Linked DNA regions of Mytilus edulis. The protein of the gene in region 2 interacts with the protein of the main gene of each other region in a pairwise test. Links are inferred from orthologs where the notes say so. Each region holds a gene or a part of one and is shown on either strand. Other genes may lie near its edges. The genes, in order: elongation factor 1-gamma-like, Golgi to ER traffic protein 4 homolog and ATPase ASNA1 homolog.

Evidence for each region.
Region 1: the proteins of Golgi to ER traffic protein 4 homolog (region 2) and elongation factor 1-gamma-like interact in a two-hybrid assay, tested with the Homo sapiens proteins (2 studies listed by BioGRID and IntAct, with this or other methods). The link is inferred for Mytilus edulis from reciprocal best matches to the Homo sapiens genes GET4 and EEF1G.
Region 3: the proteins of Golgi to ER traffic protein 4 homolog (region 2) and ATPase ASNA1 homolog interact in binary tests that used the Homo sapiens proteins (3 or more experiments, as listed by UniProt). The link is inferred for Mytilus edulis from reciprocal best matches to the Homo sapiens genes GET4 and GET3.

What each region holds. Positions count from the first base shown.
Region 1 is NC_092346.1:58,349,872-58,357,251, reverse strand, and holds the start of elongation factor 1-gamma-like, read left to right. Parts: upstream 1-4,368; 5' UTR 4,369-4,475; coding exon 4,476-4,487; intron 4,488-4,610; coding exon 4,611-4,757; intron 4,758-7,148; coding exon 7,149-7,212; intron 7,213-7,380. Other genes in the region: calcineurin subunit B type 1, read right to left, coding at 1-168, 2,238-2,277, 4,318-4,320. UniProt on the Homo sapiens protein: Probably plays a role in anchoring the complex to other cellular components.
Region 2 is NC_092352.1:43,454,848-43,462,925, reverse strand, and holds the start of Golgi to ER traffic protein 4 homolog, read right to left. Parts: upstream 3,089-8,078; 5' UTR 3,086-3,088; coding exon 2,973-3,085; intron 1-2,972. Other genes in the region: uncharacterized protein, read left to right, coding at 3,489-4,136, 4,827-5,192. UniProt on the Homo sapiens protein: As part of a cytosolic protein quality control complex, the BAG6/BAT3 complex, maintains misfolded and hydrophobic patches-containing proteins in a soluble state and participates in their proper delivery to the endoplasmic reticulum or alternatively can promote their sorting to the proteasome where they undergo degradation.
Region 3 is NC_092344.1:91,836,742-91,843,834, forward strand, and holds the start of ATPase ASNA1 homolog, read right to left. Parts: upstream 3,100-7,093; 5' UTR 3,050-3,099; coding exon 2,919-3,049; intron 1-2,918.

The DNA.
Region 1 (7,380 bases), on a different chromosome or scaffold from region 2:
CTACTTCTCCATTACCATCTGTGTCAAATATATCTATTACTCGTTGTACTAAAGGATTCTGTTGTAATTCTGGTAATGACATAAACTCATCTACACTCAGTGATCCAGAGTTGTCCAAATCTAATTTACGAAACCGCTTACCAAGTCTTTTAATTTCATCTGCATCAACTGAAAAATATAAATCAAAATTATATTATTATATAGACTTTGCACTTGCATCACCCTAAACAAAATATTTCAAGAAAGGGTCCAACAATTAATACAAACATTTTTTATATATTTTCACATGTAAAGTTACTTCAAAAACTAATTGTATTATGAAGTATTGTATAATGAAGCAAGAAAATTTATAAGAAATTTGCTTTCATACCTCCAACCAGATATTTGATTTAAATACATGTAATTTATCTGTACCCCAAGTCCTCAAGATCAGGACCTCAATTCAGACTTGGGGTAATTGTAATCGTTAATCAGCTGTAATTGAATACAATTTTTCAAGTAATCATTTTAATCAGCCAAAAATCTGATTACATGTAATTTAATTTAATCAATTACTTTTCAAAATACCCTGTAATCCTGATTACTTTTTGATTACATTATGATTACAATGTTGATGGTCAAGAAATTAACATTTTTAATATTCTTATTTGATAAATATTTAATATGTTAAGATAGTTTGGTTTACTTTATTAAGCATGTTGATTGATTTGTATACTTCAGTTAAAAATAAACTGTTACAGTATATAAAAGCCCCCATTATCCTAAGAGACATATAAATACAATTATATGTCTTTGGCCTTAGTAAAAAATATTGTACATATATTGACAATTTAAAGATGTACATATACATATTTGATAATAACTGTTATATTCTAGTGATAATTATCTTTAACCCTAAATTATTATCTTTTGGTAATATTTTTGTCAACTTTGAATTGACAGGTAGATAACCAATTAAGGTTTGTTTTTATTGAAATTACCAAATGAGTATAGCTGCAGGACAATACATATGATAAAAGATTAATCAGACATTCAAAATTTCTCTAATTAACACAAACTAAATTAAAAGTTGGGGAAAAAAATCTTGTTTAAAATAAGCAAAATTTTGTATGTATTTGGACTGGACATGTAAAATGCAATGATTTTTAGTATTTGAATTTTGTTTACAATTTAATTAAACAATTCTATAAAACTGCACCTTGAAATACAAATAAAGTCTGGAAGAGGTTAGAAGACAAGCAGCAAACTCTTTATAAAGCTTTATTCAATTGAAGTCAAAATAATTCAGAGATCAATCTTGATGAAGGTAATGGGTCAAACCATAGACACAATGTTCATGTATAAATGTATGTATGTAGTGAACTTTCGTGGTTTATTAAATAGATGAGGTTTAAAGTTATCATTTTATAATATATCAAACCTAATCCTTTCTAAAAATTCTATAAAAACTATTAAATGCTATTGAACTTTTATTCATTCACATCATTCAAAAGGTTTTTTTTAATTCATTGTAATCAGATGTAATCATAATTACTTTGCCAATGTATCATTAATTTAATCAGACACTTTCAGAAATGATGTAATCGTTAATTTAATTTAATCGCACAAATGACAAAGTAATTGTAATTTAATCAATTACATTGAAAGTAATCGGACCCATCTCTGCCTCAATTATATTTGTGGGCATGGTGAAGGTCATTTGGAGAATGTTACAAATGGTCAAAATTGGCCCCTAAAATTCCAAGAATTTAACTTCAGTAAATATAGCTATATATAGTAGCCTTTGATGAAAGACTGCAACAAATGTTTGATAATTATAAAATCATCAATTTCTAAATAAAGCATTTGAACTTAAAATGTGGCTGAACAATAATTAAATGTCATACTTTCAAAGCTTTAAACATTGACTAAATCAAACAGAGGACAAAAGCTTTACACATTGACGAAAACAAACAGCAGACAAATAAAAAAAGTTGAATCTAAATTTCCATATTAATAAGATGTAGTAAAATTAAATAGTAGTTTTTACTGCTATTGGCCGTTAAGTAAATCTTGTATCATCTGTATTGTTGTTCATTTTTAACTTTTCAAATTTCAAATATAATTCTTAAGATAAAAGGCAACATTGTGAAAATTAGTTTGAAATTCATTTAAGGCATATCATCTGAAATTTTTCAAAATAACATAAAAACTTTTTATTCGCAAGTATCAATCAAATCATATTTAAATCTACTTACAGTTTGAACATAATTCCAAAGGAAGTGATGCTTCATTTCCCTAAAACAGATAAAAGCAATAAGTTAAAATTGAGAATTGGGAATGTGTCACACAAAGAGATAACCTGCCCAAAGAGCAGAAAACAGCAAAAGCCACCAATGGGTATTCCACACAGTGAGAAAATCCCACATCTAGAGGCAGGCTTTATCTGGCCCTTAAACAAAATATGTATATATTATAATGACTTGAGACTGGCAGCTGATTTTATAATAACATAAACATATGTCATAGCAATATTTACTTGATATGTATTTGAAAGAATCGACGCCGGTTCCTCAAATCAACGTTCTAATCTGACTCCACATTCTCAAATCTACATCCAATATTGTGATACTCTTAGCGTGTCCAATTTGAATCGATGTCATGTATTGCCAAACAGATGTATCCAACAATATGTCATGGGATATTATGGATACCCATACCAACAACATCACAGCTAAAGCAAACAAGATGTTAGGCTTTTTACGAAGAAACTTGAAAATTAATCAGGAAGAAACAAAAAGTTTGGCTCGCAAAAACAATGGTACGATAAAACTTCTAATACGGCTCTTCAGTTTGGTCCCCTTTAACACCCAAAAACAAAAAAAATAATATTGAAAAGGTACAAAGAACATGAAGAAGGACCACATTACGTCACCAACAAGTACCATAACACCAGTAGTGCCACTTCCATGATTGACGATCTTAAATGGAAGTCACTAGAAACTCGCAGAAACATTAATCAAGTAACTATAATGTCTGAGATCACACACCAACTTATAGCAGTCGATTCAAATCTTTACCTCACACCACAGCCAGATAAAAACACCAGACTCACTATAGAGGGTGGTAAAGGGGGGCCCTCAACACGGAAACAGGTGAAATAAAAATGGCAAAAACGTTGCACGGAAAATAAAAATCGGAAAAAACGAAGCACGAGAAATAAAATAGTAAAAATTTATGTAAAAAGTAAAATAATTTATTAATCAGCCGTTCTTGGAGATCATCTAGCCATTATATATGATGGACATGATGACCCTACAGTCACATTTTAGCGTCGGCTAGTCGCAACTGATTTGAAAGAAAAATATTATTCATAATAGATCATAATAATTAATTATAGCAATTTTAAATATTCTGCATGGGAACACATAATTTAAATCAATCTCCAGACTGACCGGGGCTTTGAATTTAATCCCGGCCGTACTCTTAATCAATTGCAGGACAAGCACGAGAAATTAAGAGTAATGACACGAAACACGGAAAATAAATAAAGGAGAACACGAGGCACGCACGTCGAGCCAAACACGAGAAAACGAGAAATAAAACTTCAAAACACGAAAACACGTGAATTAAAAAGGCGGAAAACGTTGCACGAAAATAACCCTTTACCACCCTCACTATACAATCTCAAACTTTCAGCACCAGAACAGATTACTTTCAGTACAGCTTTTTTCCATACTCAGTTGTACTCTGAAATTTACTTCCACAAAACATCATTAGTGTTTATAATTCTTTGGATCAGTTTAAAAGGATTGGTTTAAAATACTGATCCAAAGCCAGTATATTTAGATATCTACGTACCTTGTTTGTATATACATGTAAGACATGTATTGATGTAAATGTTATTTTTTTTTATTTTTGCACAAATTTAATTTTTGATTACTGGACTCTCAGATTGTTACTTTTTATTAAGTGTCTTTATGCAATGTGCTGATAAATCAACCTACGATGTAGACCTTATAAGGACATTTATTGATATTAAATTAATTATTATGCTGTAAATGTGTTGTCTGTTAGAAAATCTTTCTTTTTGCAATTGATTAATTCACGTATACAGAAGTAATAGTTTCTTAGAAAATGTAGTTGAAGCATCGAGTATTTGACATCGATGAGGTTGTACCCAAAATTTCCCCCTTTTTCCCTGTCCAGTTTCAGAATCATGGACATAAAATTGGTACAAATGAACCAAAATTATTGTATTTTAGAGTGTAGGATACAAAAATCATATCATAACAAATATGCAACATCAAATATGTTTCAATGAGGCACTTATGTTACCATTTTCAACTAAAACTGTATTTCTGTTTCGATCAATTAAATATTTTAGTTCGATATTGACAACTCTAGACGAAACATCCGGGCACTTGAAGCAATTCTATCGAAAAGCGCATGACATACCGGAAAGTTCAAATGTAACTTCCTTTTTTACCGGTGCAATGGCTACAGGGGTACTACACATTGACATACGTGACAATCAATATAGAATCAACGCAATCTTTCCTCAAACAATAAATTTACCTCTGGAAAACTGAAAAACAATAAATAATCTTTGTCTTTTTTTAATTTTGTAGACTCTTTACACATACCCTGACAACTTCAGAGCTTTCAAAGCTCAAATTGCAGCGGAGTACAGCCGTACAACAATCAAGCTTGCAAGTTTCAAGTTCGGTGAAACCAACCAAACTCCAGATTTCTTGTCTAAATTTCCGCTTGGAAAAGTAAGTCGCTTTTTAAATGTGGTCACACATCGAAACATTGATATGGGTAAGATACATATGTGTCGAGAAATAAACTCTGAAAATGCAGACAATATTTTTACGGATTTTGACTAGCAGATGATGGTACATTTGTAGAATTAACAAACATCTGATATGCATATATATGATACTGTCCACTAACGAGCCAGTTCTTTGCATAAAAATTAACATCAAAATTATTTTTATTGATTTTCCTCTTTTTGTAAATTAATTTTTATTTGTTTTTGTTCCTCTAAATACTCAAAAGCTTTTGTTATTTTTAACTTGGCTTGTACTGGTTGACACACATGCACAGTGTATCTGCGTTGACTGCAGATTAACCACATAGAAGTAGAAGTAATTTCAAGAGCTGTACACATAATATTGTATGTCACCTTAAACACCTTATCGCTAATTGACCGCCATTACTGTATACCACATAGGTTCCCACAAAATCTGACACCACAATAGAAAAGTGTATTGCTATTTGAAAATCTGTCCCTATTGACCTGAGAATCTGCCCCATTTTGCCTTGAACTGTTATTGGCGTACAACAAATTGTCAACAATCATTTTTCCATTGTGACGTCAGAAATTTTACATGAATGGTGCCCATAAACACCTTATCTATATTCCAAGCTGACCTAGAGAATTTGTCTGGCTTGAACTATTGATGTCATACAACAATCTTTTCCATTTAGGCGACATATATATTTGTATAATGACCTAAAAATTTCATGGAACCATGGACAAATACAATGTAGCTATAACTTGTATAAGGTGTATTGTACTGCTTACACGTAACAGTCGGGTCAACACATGATTGATCAATTGTTGCTAGTATTTTGCTATATAGTGACAAATATTTGATATTCTTATTGAAAGTTCATAATCTTTTTGTTTGCTTGAATGATAAAAAAATGTAGAACCTTCATCAAAGGCATGTTTGCTGGTTTTTAATGGCAAATGTGTAAGAACTGAAGGCAGAGAAAGGTTTTTTTCTGATCACATGAAGGATTGATACCATTCAACTTTTTCATATTCAGAATAACTACATGTACATGTATTCAAATAAAGTTGTCACATAATTGAATTAGTGGTTAAACTTTCATCTTTCTTGCATTGTCTCTTGCTGAGAAATTTTATCTACATGGCAAAACATGAACTTGTCAGATATTTGTTAAAGGGCAATGTCAGATGGCGGTACATAGACATTTAGTATCCCTTGGCAGATTCAATGACAGTTATACCAACTCCCCTTCTTCCTTATTTGTTCAAGTTTGTGTCTGAATGACTTTCTGTGTTTTTTGCTGCTGATTCAGACCAGGAATTTCCAAGGAGGGGGGGAGGGGTATTTGGACTCGGGAACTCTACTTTAACAGTCACAATTTGTTTTCAAGGGGGGAGGAGTTCGTCCGCAACCCTCGAACCCCCCTGGCTACGGGTATGTGATTTACTTATCCTATACATCGACCCATTGGCATTCTGGATAAGAAAATGTGCATGTAAGACTAAGAGTCAGTGATTTGTCTAGGTAGGGTGACGTCTGGCAAACTCATCTAAGTACACAAAAAATAAAGCTTAATGTGTTGGTTTAGTCCATAGCAGGAGTCAAACAGAATATTTTTTTTACAATTACACTCGGATGGTCCTAGTATAAAGAGTTTTCATCACATTACATACAAATACATAAGATAAGACAAAATTTGGAAAACAAGTTAAAACTAATACAGTAATTGTTGAATAAAGTCACGACAGAACACAAATTGCTATACATTTTCTCTTGATGTGCTTGTAATATTTTCCACTGGACATTAAAATTCATAATCATTATAGTGTGGTAATATTGGGTTCTTGATAGCAAATTAAAAAGAAGTAAAGATGTATGGCAGTGTCATAATGGCGGTCAACACATTAATCCATTGTTACTAGCTTAATGAACATTCAGAATAATAATCATTTAGGAAATTATGTCTTCCAATAAGATGCAACCTTCAAGGCATGTTTGCTGGTTCATATGGCAAATGTGTAAGAACTGAAGGAAGAGCAAGGTTTGTTCTGATCAGATGACCAGGTTAATAAATTTAGGCGTGATCATATTCAGAATAACTACATGCAGTATATTATGGTCCAGAATGATCATGATGTATATTTACTTTCTCTTGTCTTCATAGGATTTAATGTAAAAAAGAAAAAATAACCAACTTTTATCAATAATGCCAATGTTCACATCCCTATTTAAGATTTAGATCTTAATGATTATTATGGAGAGTGGCAATGGAAAATATTAATTTTCACTTGATTATAAATTAAGTAAGATGGATCTAATGTATGTATTTGTAAGTTTTAAAATGTATGTCATTTTATTTTTCAGGTTCCAGCATTTGTTACAGCTGGAGGAGATTGCATATTTGAAAGCAATGCCATTGCACACTTTCGTATGTACTTTATATATTTTATTTTTACTCGCATGAATTACAAAATGTATGCATACAATTAGACATGCACATGCTACGTTAAGTCGGACCACAAAAAAAGAGCAATATGCATGTACTACATCATGTAAATGTAAGCCAGTGTTCTCCCCAGGATTTTTGGATAGCGCT
Region 2 (8,078 bases):
GACAGAAATTTTCCATTTCAACATGCCACCTACGGACCCCTCAAAGAGTTGATGCAAGGGTTTTTAACGTGCAAAGAACGTGACACTCCCTTTACACGAGGCATCGGATTTAACGTCCCAATTCTGACCGGATGTGACTGCGAACTTGATACATCCCGCACAGCCAAACGGACGCCCCGCTTCGTTTTACTGCCGGTCGGGGGAGGACCAAGTGACCATATTTCGGTTCCCCAGTCACCCTTGGGAAACTTTAAATTAGAAACAACAGAAATCCATATACATGTATGTGATCAAACTTATCGACATGTATCCTCACAACCTGACACTTTTTTACGATCTCGCACTCAGTTTCTTCCTTATAGTTTGATATGAAAACAGAGTTTTTGTGTAAAAGAAAAACCTTAAAAAAAAAACCCCAGAAAACCACGCAAAACTGAGTCCTCTAAACGTGTTGACAGTCTTTTAAGTTGTGCATATTAATGTGAGTAATCATTTATCCATGCATAACCAAGTACTTATTGAAGTCAACACCTGTGCAATTAAGTAAAACAGTTACTGAAAAATTAGAATTTGAACTTGCTGTCAGTTCCTTAATAACGATTGTTAGTGATGTGATTTGTTCTTCCATAAGAAAAAGCCTTTCTCATGTAGCACATCCTCTATATATACCGATCAATTTTACCCAAGATTGTCTCTCATGCTTACCAAACAACTGCCAAACTCCAGAACTAACTAGATAGTGTGACACCTTACAATTCAGACACAGTGGGGCCAAGGGATATGAAATATAGAGTTTAGCTCTGAACTCAATTTAGGGGATGGCTCATCTGCTGCAGGAAAATTGAAGTCTATGTTAAGACTTTCAGAATTACACCAAGGTGTGTCTGAAAATATCAAGGATACATTAAAAGAAGAACAATTACGTCACCCTGCCACCAGTGCTCTTATGAGCTATGTCCTCGTTTTGGTATTTCTATGGAAATGATGCCCGCATAGCTTGTTAATAGTTATAGGAAGATGTGGTATGAGTGCCAATGATACAACACACCATCCAAGTCACAATTTATAAAAGTAAACCATTATAGGTCACGGTCCGGTCTTCAACACGGAGCCTAGGCTCAAAAGTCCATTGTTAGTTAATTGATGAAAAATAACACAAAGGCGCTTCTGAACCGTATATTGTCCCTAAAGATAACAAAAATTCGTAAATGTATGGCTATTATAAAATCAATCGTTTCTATTGCAACATTCGCACCATTACATTTGGGCTTGACAGTGCAGATACATCATGCATATGAATATGGGAATATGGGTCAGGAACATTGATCGAAACTTTGTACTCACATTTCTTTTGTGTTTCCTATGCAAAGGTTACACTATAACTGACGAGTTTGACCGAATCATGACGGTATTTACGCTCCAAATAGCATTTGTACTCAAAAACTGTGTTTGCTTTGCACAAACTCTGTCCTGCGCCGAATTTGTCCTTATAAAAAAAGGGAAGTGTCTTGTAATGCTCATACGCGTACTGAATCCGCATATGATGACTACGAGATTGATTCATGTCCCTATTTTTTGAATACTTGAGCTATTGTGTGTCGCTTTTAAAAGTTATATAAGGATCATGACTGATTTTAAATTACAACATTAGAAAATTGGCATTGCATTGTATAATTTTTCCAAACTGACTTTGTTTTACACTCAATTTTTTTTTAAACCTCGCATTCGCCTCGGGTGACTATAGTATATTTTGTGTTATAACTGCTCTGTCCAGACTTTGCAAATACACAATATGTATTTATCTATAACTAGATACTAATTTTCACAAAATACACAACCTTTAAGATGCAAAATTAAAAACAATGTTTCAGCGCTTGGATTTAGTTTTTTTCAAAGATAGAAAAAATATTAAAATAATTTGATAAACTGGTGTTTTGTACTTTAGAAAATAATTCTGTAATATACTATAGCGGAATACTATACACAATATGAAAGTTTATGGATGTGAAAAGGTCAAGGCCACTTCTTCTTTTGCTATGTCTTAAATGGAAAAAAATCAGAAGGTTCCAAATCAACGCCATTTTGTAATGGCAGCTCTTCGTATAAGTAGTAAAATTTGTCGTTTTAGCATCGTTTATAGCATATGCTTATGATTGAATCGTTTTTGTAGCATTCTATTGAATAAATATCAGAATATTTCTCCTTTTTGTCCTTGTGGTTGAAATATTGATATTTTTTTGTCTGACCTTTGACCTCAATTTCACAAAACTGAGACCACTCTGGATTTTTACGACCCAACTTTTCTTATTGTACACGTTTTCCTCTTTCCATCGATATATAATTTAGGTGTGTGTTCTTCCGGACCATTAAAGTTTTAAAAAATGAACTCTGGTTGCAGTACTATAAAAGAAAGTGTACATTTTAAACACCTTATTGCTATTTACTGCTGACACGTGAATCTCTGCCACTTGAACTATTGATGTCATACAACAATCACTTTTCCTTTGAGGTGTCAGAAATTTTGTAGTATGAAGTCAACACTTTACTGCAACCTGTGTGATGTCCAGCAATGGTGGTAACAATAAGATGTATTGACATGCACCAAAACTTACCACTAACAGCATTAGGCAACAATTTTTTTCTGTTATTCTTCATATTACCACCCTCATACTCATTGACCAGATGACAATCTAAAACAAAATTCCTGACCCCCAGTGACAGTGTATTCATGACCTTTTACTTTAACATGTTTTTTTTAATAAAGTCATTATTAGACAGCATAACCTCATAAATTCCTATTTTATATATGAATACTAAAATCAAACAGGATGCCAAATATCATGAATATTGGCAAATTATTGGGAATCCCCTAATAAAAAAAAAAATAAAAATTTCAGTTGCACATATGTTCCGTTCATTAGTTGGACGGTATACTTTGCTGAAAGCACATGTTCCATTGTACTTTTCTGTACCTGAAATACAGAGTCCGGTACATTTGATGAGCTTCGTAAAAATTGCCGGCGTCCACACATGATTGACATTTTCTTAGAACTCTGTCAACACCACCGTTTCTAGAAGCTGCCATTTTTTTTACTCTTCGTCGAAATTTGCAAAACGAAACTATTATCTATGTACATTATTCTCATCAAATTACATTGTTTGAAAAAAAAATGAAGTTTTGTTATTTAATGATATTTTAATACACATTTTAATAAGTACATTTCATTTTTACAACAATATATTTGAGAAAAAAAATGTTTCGTTTTGTAAAATCTTTTAACACGTCGACTTCCTTATTTGTAAGCACAACAACACAAAGAGCTCGTCTTTACATGACATAACAAGACATAAAGGTTAATACTTAAAAGAATTTAGACATTTTAACCCTTCCCTTATCTCTCCTTTATTACTTATTTATATTTTCCCAACAGTCAAGTAATCTTTGTAATTAAAATTTTTGATGTGGGCGAGGTTTACAAGAGCAGTGCATGCATGCGTTAAAAGTTCAAGGGTCAAGTGGAATAAGGTGCAGAGCACCAAATTCCTTGACCTTTGTAGGGAAGCTGGGGAATTTGAGATACACGATGAAGTTATGTGCTGTTTTAAACTGTGGAAACTCAACTTATCACCTTCAAAAGTGGATGGGGGACTGGTGTCCAATACACCAATGCAACTATGGAACTTCAAGATGTGTTTGTGATCCTCCTTTCAAATTATTTCCATTTCCAACTGAGAGAAAAAATCCTAAGGGGAGACAAGAGTGGATAAACTTAATCAACAGGACAGATCCTGAAACTGGAGAATGTTGGGCTCCAAAAAGTCACAGTAGGGTTTGTTCAAAACATTTTCCTGATGGGAGACCTACACATGAAAATGCTAACCCTATAAACAATTTGATTCTGGAACCAGTAGAGAAACCCAAAAGAGGAAGATCAAGCCAAATGAAAAGAAAACTTGAAGTGCCAAAGTTTATTTCTATATCAGAAAATGTAATTGATGCAGATGCTTGTGGATCTGAATCAGATAGCATGGAATTAATTGAATCTCAAAATGGAAATGAATGCAATATCTCAAAAAATAACTCAGAATCTCATCCTTCAAAAGAAACAGTTCAAAATTTAGGCATCAGTAGAGCTGTAAGTTCAACTTGTTAACATGATTAAGCATGTGCTCATTTAGATTATACATGAATGCTGATTTTATAGAAATATATATACATTTTACATTTGTAATTGCACATAAATATATTTGTATGTTATTGTAATGATAAACATTCAAATGTATGTCGTACATGTACAACTGTACGTATGTCTGTTCATGTCAGTAAATTACATAGCATAGATTAGAGCATGTTACGATACAAGAGTATGTTGAAGAAAAAAATACTAAAACTTATCTTGGGTCACAAAGGTGAACAGATGCAGATCCAAAATTTAATAACTAAGCCTTGTTATTACAGTTAAGTTTATCCCATAAAAGCGTCATCTCATTGATTTACCATGGTTAATCAAAAATGTATTGATTTAATTAACAAGTAGTTATCAAGGCTATGCATTTAGTTTCTGTGCAAAGTCTCAAGAGTTCCCTAGAGCCCATTATAAAATAAAATCTTTTTGATTTATTTTACAAATAACAAACATACGTTATTACAGATTTATAAAATTTCAGGAATAAAGAGTAGACAACTCATGAAAGTATCTGTAATAACACACACAAGTTATTTTCTGTAATAACCCTATAAAGTTGTATCTCTGACCATGCTGACTGGTATATAATAAGATCAAAAACAATCTCATAGTTTAACCATATTTATTTTTATTTTGCAGAAGGCCATGGAGGAAGATAGCAACTCTCCTGCTGTGAGTAATCCAGGGACCCCTAGATCTGAACAGGAAGTCAGAGCCACACCCCCTCCTCAGAAAATGATGGGACAAGCTATGAATCCCTACCAACAACAGCTACAGCAACAACATATGTTAGCACAAATGCAGGGATCACAGTTTCCGCTAGGACATCAATCTCAAAGCAAATACACACAATTATTAGCAGTGATCGAGGACATGGGTAAAGACATTCGACCAACATATTCTGGAAGTAAAATGTCTGCAGAAAGATTAAAGCGGGGAATAGTTCATGCTAGGATTTTAGTGAGAGAATGCTTGATGGAATGTGAAAGAAGTGCAAGGAATTAAATTAGAATCTTGATTATAAAAAGAAGATTATAGTATTACTTGTTCATACATCATTTTTATGCATTGTATAAAATTGACATAGTAAAATAAATCAAAATACAGAGCTATATAAGACTATCATCGAAATCATTTCATTCATCACTTGTTCACTCATGGCTTTAATTTTATGTATATGTCAAAGATATAAATCTTTTGTATGAATTCAATGAAATTATGAGCAAGATTGAAAATTGATATTATATTTATGACCAATAAGATTACAAATTAATCTAATACTTATCATTTTTTTCTAATCATAAAGTTTGTGCTGAAACAATAATAATACAGGTTTTCTATTTTTAGCAATTGATCCTGTTTTGAAAGTTGATATGAACATGTTATTATATGAGCATTTTAAAGGTTGTGTGTTCTACAGCATGTTAGGTGTTATTCGTGTACATGTGCAAGACATAAAAAGCAAAATGTACATTGTAACATTATTTATATATGCAAGTTTTTTGAAAATCTGTTTTGTTGGAGGAAATTTTTTGGGGGTGAAATTACATGTATATCCTCTTGCTTTATAATTTTAAATAATATATGTCTACAAATCATGCACATCTGGTTAATATTTATTTTTAAAGATACATTTACAGGTATAATCATGTTGTTAAAAATAGAAGTTCAGAAGATCAATCCTAACTTATCTAAGCTTTGTCTACCATCATTTACAATGTAGCTATAGGGCATAACTTGAAAAAGATGAACACATTTTTAAGTCTACAATATCTGGAAGAATCTTATTAATGTAATAGATTATCTCCCCTTTTCTCTCTGCCAAAAAAAATTAGTTGGAAATGTAATTAAATATTCACATTGTTTTGCAGTTCAAATATTTTCTTCAGAGTTTTGTCCCTTGGTTTTGCTTCTTGAGTTTTAAAAGAACATTGGATATAGTTAGAAAAAAAATTTCAGAGCATTTCCAATTTATTTTTCTTGATGATTATAGAATATTATATTTATAAGGAAATTTGGTATATGGAATATAGAAAACCCTATCAAGAAAATAATGTTCATTTTAATATCCAAAATGTAATATTCCTGATTTTGTTAAATTTTATGTTTAGCAGTTTTAAATTTACTGAAAGGAGAAATGGTAATTTTAAACTATGGGCTCCAATTTCAATGACTTTGCATAAAGCCTGTAGGGAAGACACTGACTTCAATTTTATGAAAACAATAATTTAATTTTGAAAATGAGCTAGATAATGATTTTGCTTATGGTATATAGAGTAAGACAACTGAAGTATTATGTAAGTAATGTTGTACATTTTTTTAATCATGATACATTAAATATTATTAAAAAATCCTCTGGAAGGAAACATGTTGAAATGATATTACTGTAAATTAAATAAAAGAAATAGAAGTAAATTGGTTTTTTTCTTGGCATCTATATATTAGAAGATGTGGTATGAGTGCCAATGAGACAACTCTCCATCCAAGTCACAATTTGTATAACTAAACCATTTTAGGTCAATGTATGGCCTTCCATACAGATCCTTGGCTCATACTGAACAGCAAACTATCAGCTGTTTGTTGCATAGTACATATCCCTATCTACATCTATACCTTCAATTGTGACTGTTTGTACGACATGTATTACAAGTACAATAAAGTATTGGTATATTGTATAGAAACCTTAACTTGGAAAAAAATATTTACATGACAGTATCGGTCAATAATTAGTTAACTTGAAATTTTAATCATTCAGAATGACTAAATATTTAGTGTAACAAATTATTTAGCTACATTTTTTGCACAATGCATTATTTAAATTTAGAGTACCAGTAGCTTAAATTTTACACAAAGCATCAATCTTCTTCCATCACAGTTAACCAACAATGAACTAAATTTCTGCATTGAGTATATTGAATATTCATGTTGTGGAATAGAATCAGTCTCTTTATAGTCTTGACAAGTTGAGAATTAATTCAACACTGAATACCAAATATCTTACACCAACACCTAAAAAACAAATGTGTAAGAGACTATGACCATACAATCTGTTTTATTCTGATAGAGAGTAGGTTGTAGCTGTTAAATATTAACCTGTATGGTTTGTTAAAAAGAGTGATTTGTGTGCAATAAACTTGTACATGTTTATTATCCATGACATTTGCTATTTATATACAGCAAAAATAATCAAATTATGGGTACAATTTATAATCAAACATAAACCTGCAGTATTGGGGAAACTCTTCTAGATACCATGTTTAAAAAGACAGCTATCAGATAAGTGAACTTGTACAGTCACTTTCAAAAAGGAAGGGTTGGGTTAATATATATTATTCTGATCTCTTAAAGATACAAAAAAGACATTCAAACTCACACAACCGAAAACAAGATGACAACACCATGTCAAAAAACAAAAAAAAGGAGCCAAAAAAGAACAATCATAGAAAATTAAAAATTGAACAACCCTAAATTTGAGCTAAATACATGTACTATGATTATTAACTTTTAATTTTGCAATCATTTGAATCATGAAAGCACACTACATACTGAAGCACTCACTAAAAGATTTGGAATATTTCTCAATGGCAACCAACTATTAGAAGTAGAATTACACTGGTTTACTGGCCCTGGAATCAAGGTCACGAAGAAGTAGGTCAATGGTAATCTGTATGTAGATGTATCAGGATTGGCACATGTTACTTCACTGAAGATTATGGTACTGAAATTGAATATTTTGCATATGTTTACATGTTAAAGTGTGTGGTTATGTCAGTAGGAGATTAATATAGCATTTGCAACAAAATATACTTTTGACCAGTTATGATGAGCCATATGTTAAACACATTTATATACAGGTTAAAATATTGCCATTTTCATTTTAACATATGCATA
Region 3 (7,093 bases), on a different chromosome or scaffold from region 2:
ATACATATATACATTACCATGCTAACCATTTATTCAACACCAAAAACATGAAAAAAAACATCTTCAGAATCTCATTATACTAAAAACAATGAAAATATATATTTATAGCAATATGTACACTTACCATGCTAACCATTTATTCAACACAAAAAAAATGTCATTAGAATCTCAATTTATTTAGAAACAGTGAAAAAAAAATACTTTTAGCAATACACTTACCAAAACTTGCTTCTTCTTCTTCTTCTTCTTCCATATAAGAGTTGGGTTCCTTTAATGAAACGTTTAAACTCTGCGGGACTACGCATGGTGACATCACATATCTAGTCCCCTAAGGCTATATACAGTATTTACAATAAAATCAGGTTGTTACGGTTAAAATTATGTACAATCGTCCAGTCTGGTATTAATGTGTTGTCTGTAGCCCTGAGCGAAAATCTTCAACTGATCCCGCTTCAGCAACCCTGGCAGGTAATGTATTCCATTCCATGATTGTTCTTGGAAAGAAGGAGTTCCTGTAGACATCACTGGTGACCCTCTGTTGGTAAAACTTGTGTCCTCCACGAGTTCTACTGTCGCCACCTTTGAGGTAAGTACTCTTGTTGATGTCTATCAGCTCATTCTGGATACGATAGAGCATGCATAGCCTGTTGTCACGGCGTCTTGTCTGTAATGTGTCCCATTTAAGATCTTCTAACATTGTAGTGACGCACCCTGGTGTGCGTGATGTGTAGTCATTATAGACAAATCTAGCAGCTCTCCTCTGTATAAGTTCTAGTGTGTTGATGCTTGCTTGGTTGGTTGGGTCCCATATAGTAGAAGCATACTCTATGACAGGTCGCACGAGTGTTGTATAGCCAGCTGCCTTTACTTTCCTGGTACATTCTTTAAGGTTTCGTTTGACAAACCCAAGTGTTCGGTTACCCTTTGCTGTAACACTCTGGATATGTTTGTTCCATGAGAGGTTGTTTGATATTGAAACTCCCAAGTACTTGGCACTATCTACTGGTTCGAGTATGTGTCCATGCAGAGTGTATGGGTATTGTATAGGTTCTTTGTTCTTTGGTGGTATGCGGATAATATTGCATTTTGTTGGATTGAATCTCATCATCCATGTTTTTTCCCAACTTTCTAATGCTTCAAGGTCTTTCTGAAGTTGTTCTGTATCTTTGGTGTTACTAATTTCCCTGTATAGTAGACTGTCATCAGCAAAGAGGCGGACATCTGATTGAGTATATCCGGGCATGTCATTGGTGTATGTTAGGAACAATAAAGGACCTAGTACTGTGCCCTGTGGCACACCTGACAGAACATCGTCTTGTTGAGATCTAGCACCTTCCAATACTACCTGTTGTTTCCTGTTTGATAGGAATGAACTGATCCAGGAGTTACAAGTTATTGGGCGTGAACAGACTTAAGGTGCTATTGCGTAGGGTGCGAATAGACTTGAGGTGCAAAGTGAAAGGGGGGTACATGAATGGGCGCGAAAGAGAAAGGGATGAACTTGAGTGGGTGCGAACCGGATTGGGTGCAAATGGACCGGGATTTGTTTTCAAGCCCAGGATTTTGCGATCAGGACCCTACCCCCCTCAACTGACCTAAAGAAAGGCAAATGAAAGGTACATCTCTAGCTAAGCTGATGGGTAAGTATATACTTAACATACCAAAGGTAGTGATCCCATCACACATAGATAAACTATACTTTACTAGCCTTGAAAACTTGTACGGTAATAAAACATATCATCGTGTAATGTGTTTTCGTACTAATAACAATTTTCACTGCTTACGGTTTTTACTGTTGAGTTTTTATTTAGGTGTTTACTCAAATTTAAAAAGCATGTCCTGTAGATTGATTTTAGGTATCTAGTTTTTTTGTCAATGATTTCTACGATTTTTTACTGTTTCCGATTACTTTGCGATTTTTGTATGTCAAAAAAACGGCGTCATAAGTTTTCGTATGAAATAAAATTGGATCAGTACACGGACAGGAAATGACTACAAAATCCGGAAATACATTTTTTCTAAAGTCGTGGTTCGGGTGATCGCTTAAATCTTAAAAAAGTTATTAAATACTTTTCAGTACAAAAAATTACTAGTAAAAAGTGTAAGGTTGGTGTTTCGTGTGATGAAATTTTTAGATTTTGATTAATTTCAGATTGGCACCTGGTTTGTACAAAATACATTATTTTTTCTAAAATAAAATGCAGTTTTCAAAATTTATGATTAAATATAAAAAGTTAAGACTGTTTTCATCTTCATGTATCAAGGATGTATAAAAAAAATTGTCAATGAAATATTGAATAGTTAGATTTTGAACAACCATTTTATATAAGAACCCTGCTAATTTTAACTCGATGGTTTGTAATTAAAACGGCCAAAAAAACACATGACAGTCATACGTCTTGAAGATCCGGTGTCTGACTTGCAAAAAACGTATCTGGACTTTATTTTAACCCTTCAGAATTTTTTTCCACAACTATTCTAGTGATGCGTATTTTTGACATTAAATAAAAATGGCTAAATAGGTCAGTTTTATTTAATTTGTTCTAACGTCTTTAAAAAGCGACGTTGAATATGTTTTAAATATATCAAGTTGTAGTGGTGTTGTTGTTCTAAATATAGAAACAGAAAAACATGCCACAATGTACGCGTATGCAGTCGAAACCGACGAAATGTGGTTGATACGAAAACATATGACATACGAAAACATATGACACGACGATAATCAACATATATTTGAATACTCATTTTTTTCATTTACAATCACAGGCACCTGTTTCTGTCAATATGGGGTTTACTATCCATACCCGTACGAAAAACAAGTGCCTGTATGTTTCGTACAGGTATGGATAGTAAACCCTATATTGACAGAAACAAGTGCCTGTGTCGGATCGCCATAAAAGAAAAATAGTAGTAATCACCTTGTTGTCGTTTTTCCCACACCACCTTTTCCACCGACAAATACCCATTTCAGGGAAGCTTGGTCTACTATATTTTTAAGTGAAGGATCCAGCTGTTCAAATTCGTCATCTAGATCTTTTAAGTTTGCCATTTTTTTGTTATTCCAAGTATTACTTCCGGTTTCGAGACCGGAGACTCCTAGCGGACAAACAAGTCAGATTCGTCCCTAAGAATGGTCGTCCATGACCGTTTTGCAAGTTTTCAGGAGTAGACATTCCTCCCAAAATTTGTTGATTAATTTAAATATTCAGAATCAAACAGACTAGATAATTCAAATGTTCATTCCTGTGCAAAATGAAAGAAAAGTAATGTTGACTACTGTACCCCTATTTTTAACTTGTATGTCATTCTTTCCGTAGCTATTACGGCGTAGCCATTGAACTTCAAGCGGGGGTCAAGGTTTTTTGTCCAATTAAAAAGAAAATTGCGCAAAAAATTACATTTTTTATTTCAACGCTATTAATCATTTTTTTTCCTCTCAAAACTTTTCACTATATTAAAGTTATGGAGAAAATCTGGATTTGGAATATTTTTTTTCATTAAATTGAAGATCAGAACATTTAAAAAAAAAAAAAATAATACAATGGAATTGTATGCAACTGCCATACAAGTGAGGTGTTTAGCTAGCTATAAAACCAGGTTTACATGAGGAAATGCTTGTACCAAGTCAAGAATATGACAGTTGTTTTCCTTTCCTTTGATGTGTTTGAGCATTTGATAAGGGACTTTTGGTTTTGAATTTTCCTTGGAGTTCAGTGTCTTTGTTATTTTACTTTTTACACATCTTGTTTCAAAATGTAGATTTTTATCTATTCCCATTTTGTCCCTTATTTTGAATTGACAAAACTGCTTAAAGTAAAAAAAGGGTGGATAATAATTGTGATATCTATTTGTAATTATACATTTATAGTGATTGTGATGTCCATTTTAACCACACCAACAAACGAAAACCACTGAACAACAGGTTCCTGACTAAGGAAAGATGCAAACAAATGTAGTGGGTTTAAATGTTTTTACTAGCACCAACCTTCACCCTAACCTGAAGTAGTAGTGTAAAATTACAATATTATTTATGAGGGTCTGGATGGGGGGGTTGGGGTTCTGTTATTCTGTAAACATTTAATTTTCACCCCTTTTTTCTTTAATCTTCAAAAAATAAGTCTATTCTTTAAAAGTGATTTTTTACGCATTATTCTCTAATTTATTCCCCAGTTTTCTTTAATCTTTAAAAAAAAAAGTAAGAAAACATTCTTTTAAATGAATGAGAACGGTGATTTCCAAACAACAGCAAGGTTTTCATTTGTTTCTCAACAATGACGTGTTGATGTGTATTGTTCTGCATGATTTAAGTGCTAGTTCCTTGAAGTAACAAGTCCAAATTCTCATCAGTTCTTTCCAGTGATTTTGACTACATATATACAACTAATGCTTTTGTATGGAACCCCCTTTTTAATAATGACTGGATCCGACCCTGTGTCCGCTGGTTATGCTGCCTTGAATGGGCCCTAGTGCTTCCATTGATGGATGTTCACAGTTATTGTTATTTGATAACCAAAACTTAGCCAAATTCACTTGATACAGTTGTTTCCGCACGTTTATTTTTTGTTAGCAATCATATCGTGTCTTTTAAAAAAAATATGATCAAATATAAGGTATATGATGTATAACACGCACTGCATATATTGCCGTCTCTTTTAATTATCATATTGACGGCTTGACAACAAGATGATTTAATAAAATACACTTTTAACAGGTCAAGAGCATTGCTTCATCTTAGCCTACTTGACAGGCCCGTAGAAAAACATGCAATAATCCTTGAATTTGTTTATATTTCAATTTACATTGTGTCCCCTCTCAGTAATAAATCTTTCCTTCGGCACTGCTTATTATTGATCACGAACAATAATTATTTTGTCTGTCAGGTTTATAATTTCCCAGATAGCAATACTTTGTTGGGCCAACATTGGTGATTGGTTGGCACAGTTGGTAAATAGTTGGCGTTGGCAGCACAACAAGAAACCGACGTTGGCCCAACAAAACTCAGCCAACAGTTATTTTGACACTATTGGCCCTTGTTGGCCCAACGACTTTCGACCAACTGTCATTTTGGTGTTATTGGCCCAATGTTGGCCCAACATTTTCTTACCAACTGTTATTTAAGTAGCTTGTCCGACGATATTTGACTTACGTTATCCATTGGTTCAGTGTAAGATCTTCTGACTGAAACTACTGAACCAATTTTAATCGAACTTTATTTGAATGATTCAAGGTTATCGTAGAGAATATAGATTGTGTTTTAAGGGCATTGAGGACTTGGTAAAAAATCAAATAATAAAGTCTTACTAAATAGGACTATTTTAAACTGTCTGTGCCAAGAGCTAGGAAATTCTTAGTATTTTGAATAATTCAAAAGTTTGTAAAACAATATTTATATAAACCAGGTGCTCCGCAGGGCGCAGCTTTATACGACCCCAGTGGTTGAACCCTGAACAGTTGGGGCAAATTTGGTCACAATATTCAAGCTTGATTCTGTCTGAATTTGAATTGTGATCAAATTTTTGACATAATATAGGTTTTTGTCACAAAATTAATGTGCAATTGAAGATTTCTTCTTCAAACTTTTCAAAATTCGAAATTTGAAAAATTTTGAAAAAAAAGGAAGCCCTTCAAAAAATGGTAAACAAAAAATCCCCCCCCCCCCCAACTTTTTGAAACCCCCTTGGAGCAATAACCCTTAAACTCAATTCCGAAGGAACAGCCTCCCCTTTGTTATATGGTACACTGTGGTACAATTTCAGAGAGATCCATACAATTACACATAAGTTATTGTCTTGAAACTAGAATAAACAGCTGCGACATGAGCGCATGATACGCCCGACGTCTTGTGTGGAAGTTTTATGCAATAATCATAAATAGTTTCTGAGAAAGTTTTAAGCAATAACCATATATTGTTTTTGAGACACGGCGGGGACATGTGAAATCCCCAACCCTGTTTTTTTTTACAAAAAACTAAATTTCACTAAAATAAAATTTTGAATCAAAACCAAAAAGTATATAGATCTTTAGATTAATATAACAAAGAAGTGTGTAAAGTTTTAAGCAATAATCAAAAATTATTTTTGAGATACGGCGCGACATGTAAAAAAAACCCTCCCCTGTTTAACAAAATACTCAATAACTCCAAAATAAAGTTTTGAATCATCACCAAAAAGTATACAGATCTTTAGATTAATATAACAAAGAAGTGCGTAAAGTTTTAAGCAATAATCATAAATGGTTTTTGAGATACGACACAACATGTAAAAATAAACAGCTGCGCCATGAGCGCATGATACGCCCGACGTCTTGTGTGGAAGTTTGATGCAATAATCATAAATAGTTTCTGAGAAAGTTTTAAGCAATAACCATATATTGTTTTTGAGACACGGTGGGACATGTGAAACCCCCAACCCTGTTTTTTTTTTTTTTACAAAAAACTAAATATCACTAAAATAAAATTTTGAATCAAAACCAAAAGGTATACAGATCTTTAGATTAATATAACAAAGAAGTGTGTAAAGTTTTAAGCCATTATCATAAATTATTTTTGAGATACGGGGCGATATGTAAAAAAACCCTCCCCTGTTTAACAAAATACTCAATTACTCCAAAATAAAGTTTTGAATCATCACCAAAAGGTATACAGATCTTTAGATTAATATAACAAAGAAGTGTGTAAAGTTTTAAGCAATAATCATAAATTGTTTTTGAGATACAGCACAACATGTAAAAAAAACCTCCCCCTTTTTTACAAAATACTCAATAACTCAAATATGAAATTTTGAATCATCACCAAAAAGTATACAGATCTTAAGATTAATATAACAAAGACATGTGTAAAGTTTTAAGCAATAATCATAAATCGCTTTTGAGATATGGTGCGACATGTAAAAAAAACCTCCCCCTTTTTTACAAAATACTCAATAACTCAAAAATAAAATTTTGAATCATCACCAAAAAGTATACAGATATTAAGATTAATATAACTAAGAAGTGTTTAAAGTTTTAAGCCATAATCAAGAATCGTTTTTGAGATACGGTGCGACATGTGAAAAAAACACACCCCTGTTTTAGTTACAAAGTGCCGTAACTCAAA